3 linked regions of the Cricetulus griseus genome follow. The protein of the gene in region 2 interacts with the protein of the main gene of each other region in a pairwise test. Links are inferred from orthologs where the notes say so. Each region holds a gene or a part of one and is shown on either strand. Other genes may lie near its edges. The genes, in order: Inpp5k, Arl6ip1 and Snx10.

Region 1 (3,749 bases), on a different chromosome or scaffold from region 2:
GTCTTCAAAAGCAGCATCAGAAAGAAGGCTTATGATTCCAGAATTCATTTCCTGCAAACTGACCGTTCCAAGTCAGGCTCATTCCCAGGCCTGGAGGATACTGCTTCTCCCACAGACATCTGGTACTGGCTTCATCAGACTTTCAAACCTAGGATCTGATGACCAAGATTTCTCCCTTCCCTAGCGGTGTGGCTGTTGATCTTCAATCCATGACCATTGCTGACCCAGGACCAAGACACATGAGGCTAAACCCGATGAGGATGAAAGCTCCTCACCTTCATACTCCAAAATGAAGGGAGGTCAGGTTACATCAGCCCTCTACAGAGATGGAGGGCCAAGGGGTCCTTTGGATACCTACCCAATGATATATATGTCCAGATTCAGGTCTTGGCTATTCAGTTGAAGTAGGTCACTGAGGTCCACAGTGGGGGCTGCTGAGGCCACATTCCATGTCACAACATGTATACTGTAGAAAAGATATTAAATGAAGTCACAGAATGAAGGCTAAGGAATAGGCAGGAGCCTGGGCCTATTAATGGTTTCCATCACAGTGCTCACGGGGAAATGTGTCTGTATGTTTGTTAGTCTATTGTTTTTGAGACACAGTCTCACTATGTGGCCCTGGCTGGCCTCCAACTCCTATGTAAATCAGGCTTGTCTGGAGCTCATGGGGAATCACACTGCTTCTGCCTTCTAAGTTTTGGGATTAAAGTTGTATACCAGGGTTCCGGGCTTGTTTCTTCATCTTGTGGCAGGAAAAGAAGAAAAGGAGCAATAGACTATAAAGGCTTCACCTTCCCTTTCATCTCCTGAACCAGGAGTCTCTTCCCTTGAACTGGGTCCTCTACACAGCTTCATAATTGCCCATACCTCAGCAGCACCTGACACATCGAGCTGCTAGGGGGAATGCGGGAGTTTTGGTAAGGAAAAGGAGGAAATGATGAGATGGACAGCCAGGAGTTTGTTAACCCATTAGCCTTTCCAGCTATCTACACCTCATTGATCCTCTATGGCTCAGTCAGCAACTCTGTACTCCCTCTCCTCACCCTATGGATTCCTAGAGCACCAAGAAGGTATTAGAGGTTGATTGTACTTGATCACAGGCCTCAGGGTTACAAGAACAGAAATTTCAGAAAAGAACAAAATAAACAGCACATTCCCTTCCGCATGGCCTACCTTACAGATCCCTGGAACTCAACAAATTCTACCAAGGCCTTCATGGAGCCTAAGTACAAATTTCTAACTAACAAGATTTTAAGTATCTATCTCAACAGTCTACTGTCTATTGGGAAAAATCATCAGTTTGGGAATAACATCCCAATCTCAGCTCTCGACAAGTCCCAGAGTATCAGGAGAAATAATTAGCAGCTCTTAAACACCATGACATCCCATCACAAGTTCAGGAAAGCAAAGACTTGTAGAGCCCTTGAGTGAGCATACTGCTACAGCAATGCTCCAAGAAGCCCACACTGTTCCCAGGACAGAGCAAGCAGGAGCTCAAGACTCTACAGAAATGAAGCCTGTGAGTTCCAGGAATACTGAGGATCCTAAAAGGGAAGGGCAGTCTGTTCTGAAACATCTGTCCACCAGACCCTGTTCTTAGAGGTACATGTTCTAAGAAGCATGACTCGTAAAACACATTTCTTGGCTAGCTTAAAGCAACTTCCTGCCTCTCCCTGTTAATATAAACAAAATAATACAAAAACTACCTTCTCAGGCTCTCTTGACTGTTAGTTGATCTGTTTACAGTCTCCCCCTGCTGTCCAACAGAGGACTAAGGCAGGTAACCCGTTTATTCAATGGCTTCTTGTATTCCCAGGCACTTTAAGTGGATAAAGAATAAAATTCGGGATTGATCATCCATGTTCTCAGTTTTGATAATTAGCAGCGAATCCATGCACCATGATTACGCTCAATTGGACGATTAGCGGTGTTCCTCGTGATTAAAGAGCAAGCATGAGACCAGGGTTCACTTCTCTAAAGGATCTTATTTAAATCTGATTTCGGATTTGTAGAGATCATAACCGGATCAAGAAGACCCCATGATGTTCTGCTGATGCAAAGTAGGAACAAAACGTCTATTCTACAGCGGAAGGGAAGAATGTCTTAGACACTACTGTCTGTGTGCTCTTAAAAACCAACAGGACACTTGCTTGGGAAGCATCTGCAGTGACCAGTTTGGCAGTCCAAGTTTAGGACGGGCATCAGGTCTAACAGCCCATTCAATATTGGCCTGGCAGAGTCTGGGGGTCCAAACAAGGGCAGCCTTGTAGGCCTGTCCTCTTGATTCCACCGTTTTTGGTGCCCAGCCCCACAAATCAGACTGAAACGAAGACAGTGAACCGCCAGTAACCGATCGGCCTATAAATGCGTCCTCACCTGAGTACAGAGACTTTCGGTGTGCTCGGCCTCCGTAGGCACGCAGCCGACTTCATTCCCACGCCGTGACTCCTCGCTCCAGCCAGTGCGAACCGGAGCAGCCCTTCCTTGGTGGCCAGTATCAGCGGCACTGTTCCCTCCGAATTGTTTTTCTTCCGGATCCTGACTGTGTGCCTCGGCTTCCGTAGGAGGCGGATCGTGAGCGCTCAGGAGTGTGAGGCGCGGTTGGGAAAACAGAGGCGGGACTCCACTGCAGAGCGAAACGCCCAGAGGCGGAGCGGAGATGGGTTCCGAGACGAAGAGACGCGAGTCATCCGCCCCCGACGCCACACCGCCCTCACCGACCACAGTGCGAGTGGGTGGCGGCGCCCCGCACTCCCAGCCTGCCTTGCGCGAGGGCGAGGGCGCGGGGAGCGTTGCGCGCGGCCTCGGGCTGGCTGGCGACCGTCCCGTGGCGTAAAGTTCTGTCTGTCGTCTGCCTACCCTCAGAATCCGGGAGTGGGCAGCGTGGGAACGCTCAGGATAGTCTGTCCGTCCGCTCGGCCTCCCTCACTCCGCACTTCAAAGTAATTTCTGCGGTTCCTTGGGACCTTTGCATTCTTTTAAGTGACTCTCTGGTCGTCGTTTGGTTTCATTTCCCCGAGACAGTCTCGCTGTTATGTCCTGGGAGCTTGTTATGCAGACCAAGCCGAACCTACCACCTCAGAGCCGAGACATGAGTGCACCACTATGCCCAGCTCGAACCTAGTTTTGCTGAATACAAAGCACATTCTGGGATTCCCGGGCTCGGAAAATGAGCCATCAGTGAATGACACACAAGTCGTGGCTCCTATTTAGTGTATATTGGACTCATATCACTATTTACTTTGGCAGACTCACTTTGATTTATTCCCTTTAGGTCTTTGGTTATAATTTCTTGAAAGCAGAGAGATTGTTTCCCGAATTGTTTTACTAACAATCTCCATGAGATTCACACACTGGAAAGTCAAGTTAAAGATCCTGCTTTTTAGCACCGCACGGTGGGTCTCACCTGTAGTACCAACTACTCAGTGGCGCCCAGTTTCGAGAACTCACAAGCATCCTGCTACTTTAAATGTATGTCCTGGGACAAGGTGTAGTGGTGTGTATCTAATTCCAGGACGCTGAGGCAGGATGTTACTCAAGTTTGAGGCCAGCTTGAGCTGCCTTAAAAGAGTTACAGGCCATCAGGACTGTGGTGTGATCCTTTCTCAAAACTGGGGGGGGGGGGGGAGAGCAACCTCTGGTTACCAAGTCTTTAACACCTTCCTGGGGTGGATGGAATCACTCCAAGTTGTCCTCTGACTTCCAGTAATAAAAATGTAAGGGCTGGAGAGGTCTCAGAGCACTTA
Region 2 (3,649 bases):
ACTTACATCCACTATAATAAAAAGTTATATACAAAATGTAAATTTTACCTTTCAATGATTTAGCTACCTCATATAACATTTATGAATATATGTAGGCATTACACCAAAGGATAATAAGTACTGAACTTCACTCCTAAAAAGGCTGTCACTAGACTGAAATTACAACAAACTCAGTATTTTGCTTCACATTCCAATAAGTAAAACAAACAAACAAATAAATAACAAAATACCATTTTAGGCTTCTCTTCCTTTAGAGAAAAGAGGCGTTTCCACCAGCCCACAGCTCTGCGTCGAGTTTTTACTAGATTACTGCAGATTTCATGAAATCTTTGCTGTTGTTCAGTGGTCCTAGAAAAGAGAGTTTTGTTTTTGTTTTAAGTAAATGGATACAGTACAATTTATTTAACTTTCCTGAGAAAGAATCTCTCTGGCTGCCCCTGAACTCATGATCCTTCCGCCTCAGCACTGTAATATGCTAGGATTATAGGCATGAGCCACAAGGCCTAGAACAGTTAAATTCCTGATCTACCTGCTTCTGTCTTCCAAGTGCTGAGAACATAGGTGGCTGCCTCCACATGTGGCAAGAGTTATCTTCTAAAAAAAGTAAAAATAAACAATGGCTCACCATTGAGTGCAAATTTTTAAAAATTGTGTTACTTATACTTTATGTGTGTGTTTTGCCTACATGTTTATCTATACACATATATGAAATGCCTGGTGCCTACAGGGACTAGAAGAGTGTTAGATACTGTAGAAGTAGAGTAGTTATACTGGGACTCAAACTCAGGTCTGTCCTCTAAAGGGGGCAAGTGAACTTTCCAGACCCCAGAGTGGCTACATTTTAAGACACCTATCACAGAACAGAAAACACTTTTAAAATATGCCCTTGCACATATTTTTTTTTGTTTTTTTTGTTTTTTTTTTGTTTTTTTCCGAGACAGGGCTTCTCTGTGGCTTGAGGCTGTCCTGGAACTAGCTCTTGTAGACCAGGCTGGCCTCGAACTCACAGAGATCCACTTGCCTCTGCCTCCCGAGTGCTGGGATTAAAGGCATGTGCTACCACCTCCCCTTCAAAGAAAGGGTTATTATTTGATTGATTGATTGATTGATGGTTTTTCGAGGCAGGGCTTCTTTGTATAGCCCTGCTTGTTCTGGAACCAACTCTGGAGACCAGACTGGCTTCAAATTCACAGCGATCTACATGCCTGTGTCTCCTGAGTACTGGGATTAAAGGGTTGTGCCACCACTGCCCAATAAGTAAGGGCATTTTTTAAAGTTGATGTTTTAAATAAAAATTACAGAACTCTTCTAATTCTTTTTTTTTAATTGCATTTTATTTATTTGGGGATGGCGTGCATGTGCCACATAACATGCATGTGGAGATCAGAGGGCAACTTCCCAGAGTTTGTTTTCTCCTACCATATGTGACAGACCTTGGGGAGTGAACTCAAGTTAATAGGGCTCTGCAACATGCACCTTTGCCTACTAAGCCAGCCCCTTAATGAACCTTGAACTTAGGTTTGTTTAACTATGTCCCTTTGATGTGTATGAGTCCTCATTTGTGAGTGTATACACATGAGGACAAACAACCTCATGTCAAGGTCAGTGGCTGATTCTCCTGTTCAATGCCTTACACTGTCCAGTCACAAACTTTCCTCAAACAACTGTATTAGGTCAGTTTGAAGGACACCCAGAGGTCAGTTCTTTCCTTCTATCCCAGCACTTGGGAGGCAGAGGCAACTGGATATCTGAGTTCTAGGACAGCCTGAGCTACACAGAGAACCCTGTCTCAAAAAAAAAAAAAAAAAAAAAAAAAAAAAAAAACTCTAATTGTTAGAGTTGATCTTTTAAGCTGTCTGGGTTGGTTCACATCTCTAATCTCAGTACTCTGGATGACAGACATTGTGATATGAGGCCAGAGTGGGATCCATACACATAACAAGCTGTGGACCTGCCTATCTTGGTTACACACATACTATACCCAATGTTCCCCTACATCCCTCAAAACAAACCAACGGGGACGTTGTGTTTAAGGCAGAGTGAGGTTGTGCCTTGAGGCAGTGCAGGGGTAGTTGACCAAGTGCATTGAGTAGATAAGAGTAGATTGATTCTAAACTGGGTGGTGGTGCACACCTTCAATCCCAGCATTCGGGAGGCAGAGGCAGGCGGATCTCTGTGAGTTCGAGACCAGCATGGTCTACAAGAGCTAGTTTCAGGACAGCCTCCAAAGCCACAGAGAAACCTTGTCTTGAGAAACCCTGTCTCGAAAAACCCAAAAAGGAAAAAAGAAAGTAGATTCTAGTGTTGGATACACATGATCTGTTGATCTCATTTTTATCATCACCTGATTGGTTGCTTATGATTTCTAATAGTTAAATGGTTGGATTTCTCAGAGCTCAGTATTAAGAGTGCTTTCCCAGAACACATCGTGCCCTGAGTTCTGTTCTCTGCTGGAGGAAGGAAAGAAGACATGTAATGAACAGAACCAGATATTGGAATAGATTTTTCTGTCAGCTGACATTTTCAATTGATTAGTGTTCTGCCTCTGCCCTTCATTTTTTTGTTTCCAAATAACAGCAAGTTATATAATCTGTAAAAATGAGAGCCTCTACTGTGTACCTTCTGGATCTGAAAGAACAAATTCACAGACTCTGGGGAGTTAAACTATGGGTTAAGTAAGCATATTTCTTTAAAGAATAACAGGTCAGTGTTAAGACTTGTTACTCAAACTGCTCTTCCTTTTTCATGAGGAATTTAATGCTATTATGTTTGGGGAAGTTTATGGCCTTGACATTAGCCAGACAGCAGTTGACTAACTCATAATGCTGGAGGAAAGTCTTCGGAGAGAAGCAGATGTTTGGTGGTAATAGCATCCAAGGGGCAAGTTTTATGTTTTGATTATCTGGGATGGTGTGGGAAAGAAGGAACACTATAGCCACAATGTAGCCTTGACCGTGGACAGCTTGGATGATCTGAGAAATCCTCCCACACCTTTGCCAGGCTAACACTACAGGAGAGAGGGCAGCATGGTTCTCAGCCTGATCCTTTTTAGTAGTGGACCTGTGCCACAAAATAGCAGAGGAACAGATTAGAAATGAGAAAAACATTGGCTTTCTTTCTTTGTTCCTTTGTTTCTTTCTTTTTTCAATATAGGGTTTCTCTGTGTAGCTTTGGAGGCTGCCCTGGCACTCACTCTTTAGACAAGGCTGGCCTCGAACTCACAGAGATCCAACTGCCTGAGTGCTGGGATTAAAGCCATGCACCACCAACGCCCAACTAAAACACAAGTTTTTAATCAAAGTGAAATACAGAGATGCAAGTACTAAAAATTCTTGACTCATCTGAATTTCAATAAGAGATTTTTCACATAAGAGTAATGAGGTGTCCGATGGTTAAAAAACAGTCTTCACTTAATTACAGTACATTAATCATACATAGCCACCTACCATTTATTAGAGCCAAAAATCCTTGGTGCTAGAATGGGAACAAGGTAGTCAGCCAGGCACAAAAACATAACAAAACAGGAAACACCTGACAGCACAGATGGATCGAGATAATAGATAATCCTGTTAAAAACAAAGAAAATTAACCAAAGTTAGAAAACCACTTGTCATTATTCCTGACCAAAGTTGTTTACTCCCTAGCCCAC
Region 3 (3,749 bases), on a different chromosome or scaffold from region 2:
GGTCTACAAAGTTCCAGGACAGCCTGCAAAGCCACAGAGAAACCCTGTCTTGACACCCTGCCCCCCCCAAAAAAAAAAGTCAGGCTCTTAGATGTGTGTCATAGAGAACATCTGTACTTGTAAGCCAAGTTCTTGGGAGACAAGACTGGATGATTGTAGTGAGTCCCAGGCCAGCCTTGTCTACGCAGTGAGCTCCAGCAAACTTGGAAGTCTGAAGTCAGGTTCTTGATTAGTCTGGACACTCAGGATCTTAGACATGCTGCATTTTTTGTTTTTAGGCAGTGAATAATGTTACTCACTCAGACAATGATTTGAAGGTTAAAGAAACAAAAAAGTGATGGTCACATATTATCTGCTGTGAAGAGACACCACGACTATAGCAACTCTTTTTTTTTTTTTTTTTTCCAGACAGGGTTTCTCTGTGGTTTTGGAGGCTGTCCTGGAACTAGCTCTTGTAGCCCAGGCTGGTCTTGAATTCACAGAGATCCACCTGCCTCTGCCTCCCGAGTGCTGGGACTAAAGGCATGCGCCACCAACACCCGGCCATCAGTGAGTTTTTCTGCCTTTAGATTTATTCATATTATTTTATGAGTATTTTGCCAGCTTGTATTTGCACCACGTGGGTGACTGGACAGAAGAGAGTGGTGAAGTGGAGTTACAGGCAGTTGTGAGCTGCCGTGTGTGTGTGTGTGTGTGTGTGTGTGTGTGTGTGTGTGTGTGTGTGTGTTGGGAACCAGGTTCTCTGAAAGGGCGCAAAAAGTGCTCTTAAACCTGGGCCATCTTCCCAATCCGGACCACTGAGGTGTTCCATGCACACAGGAGGGTGAGATCCAGCCCAAGATGGTATTTAGGAAATGTGCGTATCTTTGGCAGATCGCATAGTTTTCTCCTTCATAGTTCATGAAAAAAAAATTACAGAGAAGTTAAGAATATTTGTATAGCAAACAATCGCATGCTCTGCGTGGAGATCCCGTGGTTAGCACCGAGTCATGCTAGTCTGTTCCCAGCCTCCCCCATCCCTCTCTGCTGGGTAGAGAGAAAGACCCACTAGCAGTGTGGCTGTCCCCACGTTGCGGTCGGAGGCTGACAGCGGCGCGGGGCGGGGCAGCGGCGCGCAGGCGGGGCGGGCGGGGCGGGCTCTGCGTGCGCTGGACGGGTGCGCTCCTGGGCGCTCGCCGCCGCCGCCGCCGCCGCCGCCGCGCCTTGAGTCAGCAAACTCCGTGGTGTTCCCGGCCCCGCGCCGCCGCCCAGGACCGCGCGTGAGTAAGCCGAGCCTCCGGGAGGGAGCTGGGCGGCGGGTGCCGTGGCCGCCCCCGCACCTGCTAAGCCCGGCCGGGCACGCGAGAGATGCTGGCGGGCGGTCCCCCCACCCCAGCCCCCTTTGAATGCAAGGCCAGACACCTTTGAGTTTAGAGGCTGGGAGGGGCAAGGAAGGTCTTTTTCTTTTTCTTCTTCTTCTTCATGGGATTGTGGGATTGATGGAAAAGGCCGCGGAGGAGCCCACGTTGATGATCGGGTTTAATGACACGGGGAAGCAACAGCCTGTTTATCGGTTCTGGACACATCACACTTTGCTAAAATTACCAGGATTGTTAAGGGGATGGTCACGGGATGATGTCTGTTTCCGAAAGGCACAAGCTCCTGGAGAGCGAAGGATTAGAAATTGAGAGCAGAGTGGGGTTTGACCTGATCGCCATCTACCCTTTCAATTTGCGACAGGTGAAACCAAGGTCCGTCAGCGGGGAGCAGAAGGGGTGCATGAAAACCCCTCTTCTCCTGGGAGTGGACTTGTGGGAGTGGCCAGAGGGGCTTGGGGGCCTTAGGAGACTCCTCCAGTCCCTGGCCCATCTTTGAGGGGCTTTTCAGGAGGTGGAGGTTACGTGTCCTGGCAACAATATCTCAACTGAGGTTGAGGAGTCTGCATGACTTCGCGTGATTCCTTTCCCTAAGGCTAGGATACACCCGGACACTCATCTCGGGCTCACCCAGTCTCTAGGAGGTGTCTTCCTCCCTTCTGGTCCTGGGGATGATGGAGCCCATGGTTTTGAGCGTATCAGCAAGCGTCTTACCACTGAGCTACACCCCAGTCCCCGATTATTTATTTATTTTTAAAGATTTTATTTATTTATTATGTATATAACATTCTGCTTCCATGTATATCTGCACAACAGAAGAGGATGGTTGTGAGCCACCATGTGGTTGCTGGGAATTGAACTCAGGGCCTCTGGAAGAGCAGTTAGTGCTCTTAACCTCTGAGCCATCTCTCCAGCCCCCCCCCCCCCCGTTTCTTTATTTTATTTTGAGATTGACTGACAGACTGTTTTGAATAACGATATAAATGTAGATATATATTTAGATATAAGTGACTATGTGAAGATGTAAAAGATCTCATTAGCAGCTACTTGTAGTTAACTGACCATCCACCTGGGTGTCTTCTGTCAGCGCATTCTTAGTTATGGAAATGGGACAGGCTGGCACTGCCCTCAGGGAGGCGTGCCTATGGTGGCCATGGGGTTGGCTTGCTATCTTTGGCCATCATGGCTCATTCTCCGCTCTGGACTGTGTTACCCACCTCCTTTTATTTCGAGAATGGAAGACCTTCAGAGATGGCTGTTCTTTCTACCTGTTTAAAGAGTTGCTTTTGTGTTCCCCTACTGCAGTTTAGAGCACTCCTGACCGTTTTCAGCCCTGGCATGGCACTCCTTTCATTTTGAGTTAAGCCATTGGGGGAACTGGTTTCTTTTTCCTCTTTTAGTTCAGGTCTGTGGTGTAACAACCACTTGTGAAAGGCAAAGAGCTACTGGCTGCCTGAGAACAGGGTCAGCCTACAAAGACTTTTATTTTGAAGGATAGCAGAGAAGGATGTTGGCTAAGATGATGGTGGACTCCTGGAACGTCCCCCCAGATTTTAAGGCTGTTATCAACAAAAGTCTTTTTCTTAGTTAACAATAGGCTCTACAGACCTTGTCCCAGCTAGAAACTATATAATGGTGTGCACTGGCCACAGCTTCTGGTTTCAGACCATTCTGAGTTGAGATCTTGGTACACTTGTTTGCTCCTCAAGTTATTGTTGGCAGAGTCAGGCATGGTGGTGCATGTCTGTAATCCCAACCCTTGGGAGGTGGAAGCAAGAGGGTCAGGAGTTTAAGGCCATCCTTAACCTTGAGTCCTTGTCTCAAAAAATAAGAAAACAGCTGACCTGGAACTCATTGTGTAGATCAGGCTGACCTTGAACTCAGAAATCTGCTTGCCTCAGCATCCCAAGTGCTGAGATTAAAGGTGTCACCGTGATTGCCCCCCCTTTTTTAGGATTTTATTTATTTATTATGTGTACAACATTCTGCTTCCACGTATATCGGCACACCAGAAGAAGATGGTTGTGATCCACCATGTGGTTACTGGGGATTGAACTCAGGACTTCTGGAAGAGCAGCCAGTGCTCTTAACCTCTGAGCCATCTCTCCAGCCCCGGTTGGCCCTGTTTTTATTTTATCTTTTTATTTTATTTATTTATTTATTTATTTATTTATTTATTCATTCATTCATTCATTCATTCATTCATTCATTCATTCAAGACAGGGTTTCTCTGTGGCTTTGGAGTCTGTCCTGGAACTAGCTCTTGTAGACCAGGCTGGTCTCAAACTCACAGAGATCCACCTACCTCTGCCTCCTGAGTGCTGGGATTAAAGGCGTGCACCACCAACGCCTGGTCTTGTATTTTTTTTTTTTTAAGAGATTTTGTATTTATTT

Evidence for each region.
Region 1: the proteins of Arl6ip1 (region 2) and Inpp5k interact in binary tests that used the Homo sapiens proteins (3 or more experiments, as listed by UniProt). The link is inferred for Cricetulus griseus from reciprocal best matches to the Homo sapiens genes ARL6IP1 and INPP5K.
Region 3: the proteins of Arl6ip1 (region 2) and Snx10 interact in binary tests that used the Homo sapiens proteins (3 or more experiments, as listed by UniProt). The two-hybrid records come from large-scale screens. The link is inferred for Cricetulus griseus from reciprocal best matches to the Homo sapiens genes ARL6IP1 and SNX10.

What each region holds. Positions count from the first base shown.
Region 1 is NC_048600.1:89,088,899-89,092,647, reverse strand, and holds the start of Inpp5k (inositol polyphosphate 5-phosphatase K), read right to left. Parts: upstream 2,708-3,749; 5' UTR 2,436-2,707; coding exon 2,380-2,435; intron 467-2,379; coding exon 359-466; intron 59-358; coding exon 1-58. UniProt on the Homo sapiens protein: Inositol 5-phosphatase which acts on inositol 1,4,5-trisphosphate, inositol 1,3,4,5-tetrakisphosphate, phosphatidylinositol 4,5-bisphosphate and phosphatidylinositol 3,4,5-trisphosphate.
Region 2 is NC_048596.1:82,516,242-82,519,890, reverse strand, and holds part of Arl6ip1 (ADP-ribosylation factor-like protein 6-interacting protein 1), read right to left. Parts: intron 3,567-3,649; coding exon 3,447-3,566; intron 349-3,446; coding exon 231-348; intron 1-230. UniProt on the Homo sapiens protein: Positively regulates SLC1A1/EAAC1-mediated glutamate transport by increasing its affinity for glutamate in a PKC activity-dependent manner.
Region 3 is NC_048601.1:89,821,846-89,825,594, reverse strand, and holds the start of Snx10 (sorting nexin-10), read left to right. Parts: upstream 1-1,144; 5' UTR 1,145-1,259; intron 1,260-3,749. UniProt on the Homo sapiens protein: Probable phosphoinositide-binding protein involved in protein sorting and membrane trafficking in endosomes. Plays a role in cilium biogenesis through regulation of the transport and the localization of proteins to the cilium.